Neodiprion lecontei: one gene and its partner. The protein of the gene in region 1 interacts with the protein of each later gene in a pairwise test. Links are inferred from orthologs where the notes say so. Each region holds a gene or a part of one and is shown in the gene's direction. Other genes may lie near its edges.

Region 1 (4,781 bases):
CACACAGCCGAGTCGCACAAAGGACACACAGTTTTACGATGGGCCGCGTTGTTAGCAGCATAGTAACCTCCCGACTTTCCTCAAACGTCTCATCAAGGATCTAAAGAGGCTCCCCATTGGCTGCCAGTCGGGTGCGTAGTCTTCGCGACTGGTTCGTTACGACTCATCGTCAGCTTTGAGGATAGGACCCAAGTTCAGTTTGTTCCGAATCAACAGAGTCGAGGGTTGGGTGTGTGCAGGGCTCGTGCGTTTGGTGATACGAAAATTTCGTTACCTACGGTACTTTAATCTTACATCTGATAAGAATACAAAAATGCCCCAGTACAAACTGATCTATTTCAAGACGACGGGAATAGCTGAACTTGCGCGATATCTATTCAGCTATGCAGATCAGGATTTTGAAGATGTGAGACACGATATTACGACTTGGCCGAAGTTCCAACGCGGTAAGATTGTTTTCTTGAAAATTCATGGGACACGCTTGCCGGTTTTCCACCGAGCTTCGTATCCCGTTCCCTCTAATTTATTCATTCCTTTACTTTCTTGTATCCGCATGAATAAGAGACACCCTACGGAGTGTTGCCGTTATTGGAAATCGACGGGAAGGTTTACAACCAGAGCTTGGCGATCGGCAGATACTTGGCCAAAGAGTTCAACTTGACCGGTAGTAACAAACTGGAAGATTTGGAAATCGACTCCATGGTAGACACGATCAACGATTACAGAAGTGGTAAGACAACGATCGACGTCAACTTCACGCATGGAATCTTGGTAACGGGAACTCGGTAAAATTCATTTTGATATTTGATTGGAAAAATTCTGCTTTTTTAGTGTTCAGTCAGTACTTGTGGGAGGCGAACAAGACCGCGAAATCCAAAAGGAAGGAACAGCTTGTGCAGGAAAAACTTCCATTCTATTTGAACAGGTTTGAAGATCGGGTGAAAGCAAATGGCGGCTACTTCGTCGGTGGAAAGGTATGACAAAATTCGGATCGCAACTTTGCCTGTACATTTGAGCTGATTTCAATGTTCCCGAATTTCACTCAGCTGACTTGGGCCGACCTGTGGTTCGTTTCGCTGAAGCCATACCTCGACTTTGTCATTGGATTCGACACTCTGAAGAATCACGCTGCTCTGACAGAGCATGCGAACAAGATCAACGCGATTCCCAACATAAAGAAATGGCTCGATACTCGGCCAACCGAATGCTGCATACAAGAATTCTTGGACGCCAAGCAACAGGACTGATCGAACGCTTCTGCGCGGTGTAATTATCATTAATTCACGATGTAAGATCAATCTTACACCACCTGGCGTGATTTTTTGAAATGAATTCACAAGACAGAAATCCTATGTAACTTGTTCTCTTCGCATTAAATAAAAAGTGTTTTTGTATTCCAACACCGATCGAAGGTAGTGTTCAAACGACGGTTACCATTCCCCGATTACATCGAGTTTCCAGCTTTCGTTGCTCGAACTTGTCGTAGATATGTAACGTGCATCCGAAGGTTGATAGCCGTTATCGACCGCGGCGGCTGCGGCAGGAGTGCAGCGGAGGTCTTTAACAACGTTTGAAAATGAAAATGAAAGGCGGCGAATTGCGCCAGCGTCGTCCAGAGGTCGTTCCGCGATATTGTTCGTGGGTGGTTGAGACGCGAGATGCCGCCAAGCGTCGGAATGCCGATTGGTCAGGGTGGAGAACCGCAGCTGCGTATTTGGTGCCGGCGAGAAGAGCCGAGTCGACGAGAGAATATAGGCGAACCTCTCGTCCTCGAATAATCGGTGCGCCTCCGAGCTGCGCCCTAAAGTTGCGCCGTAGTTTGGCCGCGGAACGACAGTGCGTGCCGTGACCGAGACAGACATCTTGTAGTAGAATTTTAGCACCGCGCTTGCTGGTTACCGCGCCGTGTAGTGTGTCGTGTCCGTGTCCGTGTCGGCCGTGGCGATTGTATTATAATAAATAAGAAAATAAAAACGAGACGGGAACGACGGTGAAATAAAACTGAGGAGAGAAAAAAAAAAAAGAAACAAAAAAAGAAAACGACATACCACGAAAAAACAATAAGGATAAAACAAACACAACAAACGAATAGATAAACCAGCGACAACCGATAATAAAGGATAATCCGTACGCTATCCCTTTGGCGGAGTATAACGCATATTTATTTTTACGAAAAAAAATTACGTCTGTTACAAGTGCGTGGGTGCGCGTCGATTGTCGCGAAGAAGAGATAATTCATGCCCTCTGATGTGTGACGTGTAATTATTATTGTATTCCGTACCCACTTCCCCCTCCCCTCCCTCCCCTCCACCCCCACCAAAGGAAAACGGAAAAAGGAAGAAGAGGAAGGAGAAAAAGGAGGAGACAAAAAACCACGGCGAGGCGATCGTCACGGAATCGTCGTAGAAACCGAAAAGAATAAAAAGAATTGTAAATCAGCGGTATCTCAACCGACCGATCGTGAGTGTCGCGCGATCCCCCGCGACCGCGAGCCAGGATGTCGTCAAATAATTCCCAGAAGCTGTCGACGACGGAACGCGTGATTAAAAGTAAGTTTCCCGAGAGTTTGATAAGGCTACATTTTGCCAATTGGGTCAAATTTTTACACTCTCCCCGCATCCCGAGCTCCCTAATAACCACCTACCGATTTTTAATCCCCCCCCCCCCCCCCCCCCTCTTCCCTTGCCCCAGCCCCGGAAAACGGGGCGCGGAAAAGCCAAGGAAAACACCGTCCGCAGGGTAAGCGAAAACACAGAGAGCCGTCTCCTAGAGAGAGCGACGGATTGATTTTCTGGCCACTCGCCGGCGCCATTGCTATCGACCTACCCTCCGCCAGTTTGCTTCCAACTTTTTACTCGTTCGCTCGCTCTCCGTGCGGGTGGATGAGTAGATTGTTTATCTTTAAACGCTGCTCCCAATTCGCCGCAGATCCCTTCGCCCTCGGGGTTACAGGTCCCTCTGTCATCCTCGCCCCTCGTATCCCTCCCTCCCTCCCACCCACCATTTCGCTCGTCCACCCTCCTTTTCCCCGACACCGGACGCAAGTCGACGACGTCGCTCCCTTTCGTCTGTCAAATTTCATTCCTTAGCCCGGTTCCACACGTTACCCTCGAAATCTCGGCTCTTTCATTCTTTTCCCCTCTGCCGTCGAAGTAGGATCTCTCTCTCAGTTTGTCGCCACCTCTCGTTGATGTTATGCAACACTCATCGCTAAAATTTTACAATTTTTCATTGTTACGTTTATCGATGGTTCGCGAGGAGATTCTGGCGAACAATCTCAACGAGGAACCGACTCTGTCTTTACCGATCAACGAAATGCTCTCTTTCCGATCTGAAAATCGCCAACGCCGCATCATCGCAATTTACCTGTCAAACTGGAACGTCGGTCGATTCCTCATCAGCTGATATCTCAATTTCCTAATGGCTACGTGGAAAAGTAATCTCAATCAAGCGATGAGAATACTGACCTCGATCAAAACGTACGTGTGATTTTAATGAAAAGGATATTTTACCCGAGCTCCAGAAGTGATTATACCGATTGCGGAACCACCGTGTCTTCGCTCTGAAGTTTTATACGCAAATGATTATTCTTATCTTCGCCGGATCTTCAATTTTCATTTGCACTTTTTTTCCCCATCATATCGTAATTGTTTGAAAATATTTCGTTGCAGCACAGCTGTTATACAAATAGGGTTTTATTTTTACCAACTGTGGAACTCGTTAAACTCATCTTGTTTTAAATAATTTGAAAACTTTTTTTTTTCACTTATTCTTATCAGGTTTAATACAATAAGTGATATTAAATTAACCTGTTGGTGAATAATTGAATACTTTTTAAACACTTCTCACACGCGAAATTAGTCCCAACGATGCGATCGCAATATTCCAACAACTATTCGCCGCCTCTTGCATGTTACATTATTAAAAACTGTGTGCGATGTTATTTTTCGACTATGGGCATTTAATCCAAGACTCGGGTAGTCATTTATCACTCAAAAACCTGTTTAATGCCAACGGTACTCGACCAGTTTTCAATTCTAAGTTGTATTGTAATTTTAGCTTAGCTATCCTTAATGAGGCTAAGGTTAGCAACGTTAACGTAACGGAACATCAGGAAAAAATTTATTATTGCACAATTCTATAACGTCGTTTACAAGGAGTAGGCTTTTGAAAATAAGAATAATTACAAGAGTCAATAGCGTGCAACGGTACATACACAGGTATAACGGACGAGCATATTTTCAAGACATATTGTTCAATTCGACCGGCCGGCGGCCGCGACGTTTAACGTAATGCGTCAAAAGGCCAAATTGACGAAAGAAGCTTGAAAACCGCACTTCGGTCGCCATCGTCCATCGCCACGCCTCACCGAAAGACACGAAAAAATTTAGCACCAACAAAATTTATACAAGGCTGCTATATTTATACCCTATTGTAACTAATTAGCTGACAATTGGCCAGCCATCATTGTCACCCCTTTTTATTACTCGTTCGTATCTCATCCTCTCACTTTCCGCACGTAAAAATAAAGTAATCAATAATTGCACTCACCTAATCGATCGCTGGATAATTCCGGTTTACCGTCGAACGTCTGTCAACACACGAGAATAATTAATTCAAATCACCCGAAATATGTAATAGAAAAAAAATGCATATATGCCTGTCCGTGTCATCCGGAATGATAGCTCGTTATACTGTACGCAGCAGGTGGTACAGGATATTAACTCGAAACGCGAAGACTACGCAAGAATGCGTTGAGGTTTATCGGGATCTTCCAAAAG
Region 2 (7,938 bases), on another chromosome or scaffold:
AGAAATAGTGTACATATTCAAATCATCTTATTACGCACCGATCGGGACATTTGCTTTTCGGTTGAATAGTTCACCATAAAATTATTTCAAATCAACGAGCCGTTAATTTTTCAATAAAATTAATCACCAGCTCAAGTTAAAAAGTTGCCAAATTGAATTTGGCCAACATTTGAAACGCTTAAAAACTTTTTCTATTGCCGCTTTGACATTAGTAACTAAATTACAAATGTAAGTTTCGAATACTTTTGTCATCGTACAACTGAAAATTTTCAAATAGTGGACAGTTGGAAATAATCAGTGATTTTAAATTCATGCGACTCACCGACGCTACATCTTGAAAATCGGTCCAGCCTCACCGTCTCAAGTGTATCCTTTCGGGCGTGAATTAAATATTCCTCCGCAGAACACTGAATAAATTTTATATTCCTGTGGAGAACACTCACCAAATTTTGTATTGCACTCGGAATTATCACTGAAATGGCAATCGAATCGATGACTGCATCACGCGACAAAGAATATCACCGATGGAGAGCCCACGATAATTTTTCACCCGGCAAATATAATAAACTCGTTCTCTAAAATACGCACTGCACTTGCTAAGATTCAACGTGACTACATTTTGATTAGAAGATCGAGTACAGAGGATTCGGACTTGCGTAAATAATTTCGAATGTTACCTGAGTTTAACTCGCAACGAAGAAAAATTGACGGTGTGAATTTTTCGTAGCCTAAGCGACTTCGCGGTGCCAGTTGACTGCTATATTTATATCTCTGCGACCCAAATCACTGCACGCGACAAATTTCGAATCTAAAACAGAATATTCTCGCCTACTTTTCATATTTCTTTCACTTCAATAACGAGAAAAAACAATCTTACGATAACGGCACCCCAAGACCCGTCCGTTAAACTGGAGATGAGAAGAAAAATTTTCTACCGATTGTCAGTTGTTTGTACCCGAACGACCCGAACTTTGCTGCATAACTCGCGAATCCCGCCAAAATACATCGACCACGAAGTAAGGCGTTGACAAAGAATTGATAACGAATGCCAATTGAATGCGCTTTAGCTATTACCAACTTTCTTTCAAAATTCCATGATGTTATTCGGATCTTTGTTCTGTACAATATATTTAGAACCTGAGTAAGTCTCGAATAAAACTTCCATCTTACGTTGATAAAATCGGACAACGGCTATCGTGAGATTATTTTTTTCAGTTGATTTTGGACATCAAATTAATGAACATTTACACTCACAATTATCTTCCTAGTCACGGAAAATCGCCATGTGAATCACTTAAGTCAGTACATACTCAATATAAATATCTGAACATGAAATTGGACATGATTTTAAAGTAAATATGGCGTAGTTGAAATGACTGAATTTTTTCGCCCCCGGCGTTAGATTCAAAACTGCAAGACAGACAACTTCTGGTCACTGCGCTGCCGAGTTTGTGAGTAGCTCTGCCAGGCTCTGCCCTGTCCTAGGAAGTTTTTAGCGCTGCCAGCCAGTTCGGAACGCACCGTAATGCCAACACTTCAGATCTCTTATCTTTTTTCACCCTGCAAGCTAAAAAAAAACAAAACATGTACGTCGGTAATATGCATAGGGATAAGGATGAATGAGCGTATTTTGAAATGTGTTTGCGCACAGGCGATATTTCGGAACGTTCTGAAATGGGTAGAGCCTGGACATAAAAAAAGAAGATTATAAGGGGCCGATATCATTAATCCAGTCATCGTCTCCCCTAATACTTTGATTCGAGACGCGTGGTAGCAAAATTCTTTGTTACTACGGGTTATTTGGCTGGGAGATTGGCCATATTTGGCTACCTGTGCGCTTCTTGTGGCGGCTTGTGGTACTACTTATCTGGTAACCCTGGACTCTGGCATACGACATTAGGATGCTACCTTCGTGTCTGTAGGCTCAATGGGTAATCTACCGCTGATCGGTCTAGATTCAACAACAATAAAAATAATATAAATACATTGACAAATTTGAAAGGGCAAAAGCGTCCTGAAATAATCGAATAGGAGGTTCGTACAGCCGTGTAAACACGAGCAGTGTGTTAATTAGCAGACGGTCGGCAGTTCGCTCGGACGAATTGACAGATTGTTGTGTGATTTCTTCTCGAAAGAGAAGAGAAGTCGGACTGAAACTGCATTCGTTACGCGGACACAACGTCTGAAGACAGGTAAATTACAGGGAAATAAATTATATCCGACTATTCTTTGTACACAATGATAATTAACAACAATTTTTTGAATCTTGATCGATATCAATTGACGACGATGTTATCGCCCCGATAATTCGCCTCGTAAAATTCGAAAACAATCGTAAAACAGCCCGCATGCAACAACAATAATTCTACTCGTAATCATCATTGAATGTGTTTTCATCTGTCATCACCGCGTTTCGTCGCCGTGAATTCAGGGCAAAATTTCCCAGTTAGCTTCTTTCAATTTACTCTCCATCCGTTCAATTCCCTGGTTGAAAATTTTGTCGTTAAGACCTGAATTCTTTTATATATATGAAAGATTATAGATAAAATGCCACTGTAAAATTCAAGCTAACTAGCCTCTCGTCTGTGTCAGTGGTAATCTTTGCCACTTGGAAAATAACTGGCGTGGAATCCGTAAGAAAATTTTGTACCACATTGTACAGGTGTATCCCCTTTTGTCACGATTGCTTTTCTTCATTCACAGTTCTACTCCAGGGGGTAAAAATGGAGGATAAACGAGAGGCGAACCTCGATAGTGAGCATGGGTCCTCGGAGAATACGGAGAATATAATAATTAACGAGGTCGACGGCCTGCCAAACTTGCATCCCAATTACCAACAGCTTGAACTAGAATTGGAAGCTGACCAGGATCGCGGAGACGCGAACATGAGAACGATAGACGAATTAGTCAGAGACGAAGATCTCCCAACTTCAGTAATTGTCACCAATGTAGACCCCAGAGTTTTCAAAGATCCTCAGATAATGGTGACTATTCTTTGATAAAAATCTTCAAAATCCAAGGATCTATCGCTCAAGTTTTCTCAACTTAAATCTGTTTTTTTTATTCACAGAGTGGCATAGAAACACTATTCAAACAGTTCGGAGAAAACGCCACTTTTCAGTACTTCAGATCTTTTAGACGAATGAGGGTCAACTACAGTTCGCCCAGCGCCGCTGCTCATGCCAGGATACAGCTGCACCAAACACGTTATGGAGAGACGGATATCAACTGCTACTTTGCTCAACCTGTCACGCCAATAGGTTCACAGTTCCTAATATTATCCACTCATTTTTTATTTATGTGATTTATCCAGAATTTCAATCGCTCAGTAATATTTGACAAATTTTGCTTGAAAACGTTATGCATTTTGGTACAAGCTTCAAAAAGTTTTTAAACCAATTTACTAACAAGGTTAAAATTAGAAGCGTTACAGCTTTTAGTACCTAAACCAATTGAGTATGCAGTAATCCTGCTTGACGTATTCATGAGTTTCTTTGCATAAAGTTTTTGAAGTAGCAAGGAAGCATCCCAAGCACATCGACCAATTTAGAAATCAAGTTTTTCAATTCCGAGAAAACACTTCTGTATTTGGAAAAGACTTTCCTTGTGCCATCAAATATTTAACCTTTTTTCCAACTTTTTTTCTATGCCTTCTCACCTGCAGCGATATTTGTTATGCACAAGGTTCATAATAAAAAAGTTTTATTTAACACAGAGACCATTTAGTAAAGAGAAAAAACATGTTTATTTTTCAAATTTAATGACTAAAACTTGAGTCTCAGAATATTTTTAACTGCTCTGTCACTTAGCCTGAAATATTTATGCAACATTCTCTGCCTATTTATGAAACAACATTTTGTCCACTTCTTCATTTTACAAGTAATTATTGGATAAAGAGTGTTTAAAAATTTTAAAAATCATTAAATCCAATATTATTGATGAAGTTGTTGTCAATTCAGTCTTTTGCTTAGTAACTAATTTTTACTTTAGCTTCTATTTTGACCAGAAATTGAGTTGTTAGGACTTCTAAAATCTGATAACTCTTCTGCAAATAATGAATTAATGATTCGATTTTAGATATGGAAGATCAGCATCTCCACCCGCCAGCACCAACTAAACAGTTCCTAATTTCACCTCCGGCATCACCGCCAGTTGGTTGGGAGCCTCGGGAAGAAGGCGAGCCGCTCGTGAACCATGACTTACTCGCAGCAATTGCCAACCTATCACCAGGTCTCAGATTTACTTACGCTTTACAATGAAAAGCATCATTGTTCCTTACTCAGCATAAAATGTTTTATATTGGCTTGAATTTATCAACGTATTTGTTTCAGGTGCGACCCACGAACTCCATCCAGGCGGATCTGGTCAACCTGGTATAGTTGTCCACGTCTGTGAGACAACGAATCCTATGAAAAGTGGTCCTCGTATACAGCACACACGTTGTCCAGAGTATTAACTTTCCGTAAAACTTTTATTTCTTATTTTTATTGATCGTCCACTAGACGATATTGAATTGCTTACTCCATCCAAACGGCGAGAAGATAATTCATAATCATAAATTATCGCATAGCGAAGTCATGTTTTGCAACAGATAATATATGGTGTTTACAATAAAAGCTTTAACAAATCTGTAAATAAAGAGAAAAAATAGGTAATTTAAAATTGTTATTTATCGCAATTTTCAAATGGTGCACCAAACATGCGTTGCCATGAGGTCGTTCATTGAGTATTTATTATAAATCTTGAGTAATGTAAAATAGGACTTTCTCGTTAAAGAAAATTGATATTATGCATAAATTTAATTTGTATAATAATGCTAAATTTTTTTTCTTGTTCGTTACGAAAGCACGTATTTTGTCGATTTCTTTAAGTATATTCCTTCCATTTCCGGTTAGGAAGAATTGAAATATCTAAAATACTGAAATATTGATCTTTCGTCTGTTCGAATTTCGCGAAAACATAGTTAACCTGGATGATCATTCGAAAGTTGCATGTAACTTAGGGTACGGTAAATTACTGGTTCTAGTTAGCACCATGACAAAATATGGCTTAGCATTGCATTGCCCCCCCCGCCCCGAAATCCTTTAATAATAATCGTTAATTGTCTCGACGTCATTAACAGTGATGACATTTGTTGTTACGATTAACATTATTTTTGTTAATGTGTAAAAGCTACGCGAAGCCGAAAATTTTTTCTATATTTCAGTGTTGACTATTGAAATTCTAATAATCATTATTAGTCGGAAGATTTCAATTATTAAACGTTAATTACAACGTTCGGAGAAAATTCATATGTATTACTAGGTACATACTTAGAACAGTTCCGCAAAGCTAGGCCAGGTCTTACTACGTGTTTAAATCTCACAGTTAGGTATTACAAAAAAAATTTTCAAAAATATTTTGTGTCATTAATCTGGATAGTAATTCCAATATAAGAAAACTCTAGAGGCGGGTGGATGAAACCGATTAGGTCTATTTCAACTATGCTTTTTCTTGGATAAATGGATAACAGCTCAAAAGGCAAAGTGAGAAACCAAATTATATTGCTGAGAAATTGGGAATTTTCGGTCTATATACCTGTCCTAATAAAGTGCACCACTACGGTGGTTGAGTCATCAAATCGAGCTTGTTTATGAGGTATTTGTAACTTGAGTTACAAAGAGAATAGACGAAAAAATTTAAACAGCCAAGTGGCTTCTCCTCGTATTCAATGTAACTTTGGAGATGTTGCATTTTGATGTTGAAATGAGTGTGTGAATGTCTTCTTGTATGTTTTAAATCTATTGTATATATATACAATTATCTACATGATACATATCAGGTGAAACGAAAAAAACTTGTTCAGTTTGAAACAATCAATTTCGCAAAAGTTCACGGTATCGTTAGCGAAAATGTTTTTGTTTTAGATAAAGCGATAGAAGTGGAAATCATTTCTCTTGAAAAAAAAGAGATTCAAATATTGTATTCGACAGAATTCCAAATTACGCTATACCTATACACTCATTAAATCTATATTAGCAATCTGATCTTTGATTGTCGAATTTTTTTTTTACCAACTCTATACACGTTCCTTCCATTAATTCGTTTTAACATTTGCTTATCATTATACAATGATATATCAAACTGAACACGTTTCTTTTAAAATACTTGATATATTACGTCACTTTTTCTGCATATAGTTATTACTTAAGATCAATTATGCATTAAGTTGTATTTAAAATATTTAGGGATCCATTCAGACGGATTGTTGTTGAAAAGAAAAAAGAAAAAGAAAAAAAATTAATCTAAACACGGCCTCTTAATGTTTAAGATTGAATTCGTGAAAATAAAGTTCATAAAAACAAAGATTTTTCTCTCGATTACCGCCAGCTGTGTTTGTATTATTTTATAGTTACAAAGAAATATGTACCGCATTTATAAATCGGTCTCAGATATTATATCTATAATATTAAAAAGCTTACTCGTTAGGAAATCAGTCATCGAACTATGTATTTAATAGGCAATTAGAACAGTTGACTGTTGATGAAATAAATGATAAAAATAAACTCTGCTAATATCTGCTGGAAATTAGAGCTGACAAAAAAAATAAAAATTATTTTTACTCACATATGTATATCTGAACACGATTGTAAGCTACGCAGATTAATATCGTGATGGAGAAAAGAAATTTTATAGTTCCTGTAAAAAGATTGTATATTTCAATACGAAATATGCATAAAAAATTTTGCGCGAAAAATTAATAATTAAATCATATTCATAATAAAGGGCGATAAATGTGTGTCAAATCATTTTCTTTTTTTTTTTTCTTTTCTAAACAATGTAAGAATTGCAATTGAGCCGAATGACATACATATAAGATAGTTGCATAGTAAAATCTATCGTCAACATGTCAATTTATATTTGAAGAGATAGTCCATATGGTTCGGGGAATTATTAATTTTCATACAGTCTTACTTTCAGTTAAATGAATCCTTTTTGTCACAGATTGGAACGAATTTACAAGAAGTGCTTGTGTATGTTTTGAAGCGATTTATTATTCAAACGGAAGTAGGACTTTCTTTATTATCATGAATTGCAATTTTTATTTTCATTTGATATGTCAAACAATAGTATGCTCAATGAGTAAAGATTTGGTAAATGTAATATCATTTACCACGTGATATATGCCACAAGTTTGTCTTGAAAAATGCCATTTTTTTTTTCGCTTCCAATTCATGGGGAATCACAAGTTCTATATTTTACAATCTGGTATAATTTTTTAAAATATTACCAAGGCTTTATACAATATGCAGATTTGAATCGATGCAGCTTACGTAGAATACATTTTTTTCTTCGTCACTAGTTTACACGCATGAAACTCAAAGATTTTCTCTAAAATACCATTAACATCGTATTTTATATTCCACCTTCCAGTAAAAAAGAAGAAAAAAAAGAAAAAAGAAATAAAAATCGGTGGAACTTGGATAGCGTTGTACGTCATTATGTCGCTGACAATATACATACCTATACTTAGATATGAAAATAGGAGAAAAAATAGGTGGATACTCGGATTTGACAACAATACGTTCGTCGCTGAGACTTAACCGGCTAGCAAATATAATGTCCTTATATACACTATGCAAATATAATAGCCCGGTCGATCGTAGAACAAACAGTTCTTAGAAATTAGTCCGAATATTTTAGTTTAAACAGTAAAACTGAGATTACCGTCAACCTCCGTTCTGTATAAGTAATTACTAGTGCTGTCGATACGTTGACGAAGTCAAACGGGGAAAAAGAAAAAAATTCATTCGTTGACTTGACGCTTACCTAAATCTGATACGTATGCAACGATTATACCACTAGATACATTGCAGTGTTTAATTTGATTCTACGATACGTTAACTGGACTGCTATGGTATGTGACTCTTTCCTAATCAGTTGATTATTTACTTCCAG

Evidence for each region. The genes of interacting proteins can lie anywhere in the genome.
Region 2: the proteins of serine/threonine-protein phosphatase 2B catalytic subunit 2 (region 1) and protein sarah interact in binary tests that used the Caenorhabditis elegans proteins (3 or more experiments, as listed by UniProt). The link is inferred for Neodiprion lecontei from reciprocal best matches to the Caenorhabditis elegans genes tax-6 and rcan-1.

What each region holds. Positions count from the first base shown.
Region 1 is NC_060260.1:6,043,317-6,048,097, reverse strand, and holds the start of serine/threonine-protein phosphatase 2B catalytic subunit 2, read left to right. Parts: upstream 1-1,754; 5' UTR 1,755-2,497; coding exon of another isoform or gene 2,498-2,549; intron 2,550-3,464; exon of another isoform or gene 3,465-3,479; intron 3,480-4,781. Other genes in the region: glutathione S-transferase-like, read left to right, coding at 314-446, 563-730, 832-974, 1,047-1,247. UniProt on the Caenorhabditis elegans protein: Calcium-dependent, calmodulin-stimulated protein phosphatase. Dephosphorylates arrd-17. Dephosphorylates daf-16 at 'Ser-319' which regulates daf-16 nuclear translocation. Dephosphorylates calcium permeable cation channel pkd-2 at 'Ser-534'.
Region 2 is NC_060266.1:20,099,903-20,107,840, forward strand, and holds the start of protein sarah, read left to right. Parts: upstream 1-1,921; 5' UTR 1,922-2,192; intron 2,193-2,703; 5' UTR 2,704-2,723; coding exon 2,724-2,984; intron 2,985-3,070; coding exon 3,071-3,260; intron 3,261-4,077; coding exon 4,078-4,230; intron 4,231-4,331; coding exon 4,332-4,456; 3' UTR 4,457-7,938. UniProt on the Caenorhabditis elegans protein: Inhibits tax-6/calcineurin A phosphatase activity and thereby negatively regulates calcineurin-mediated functions.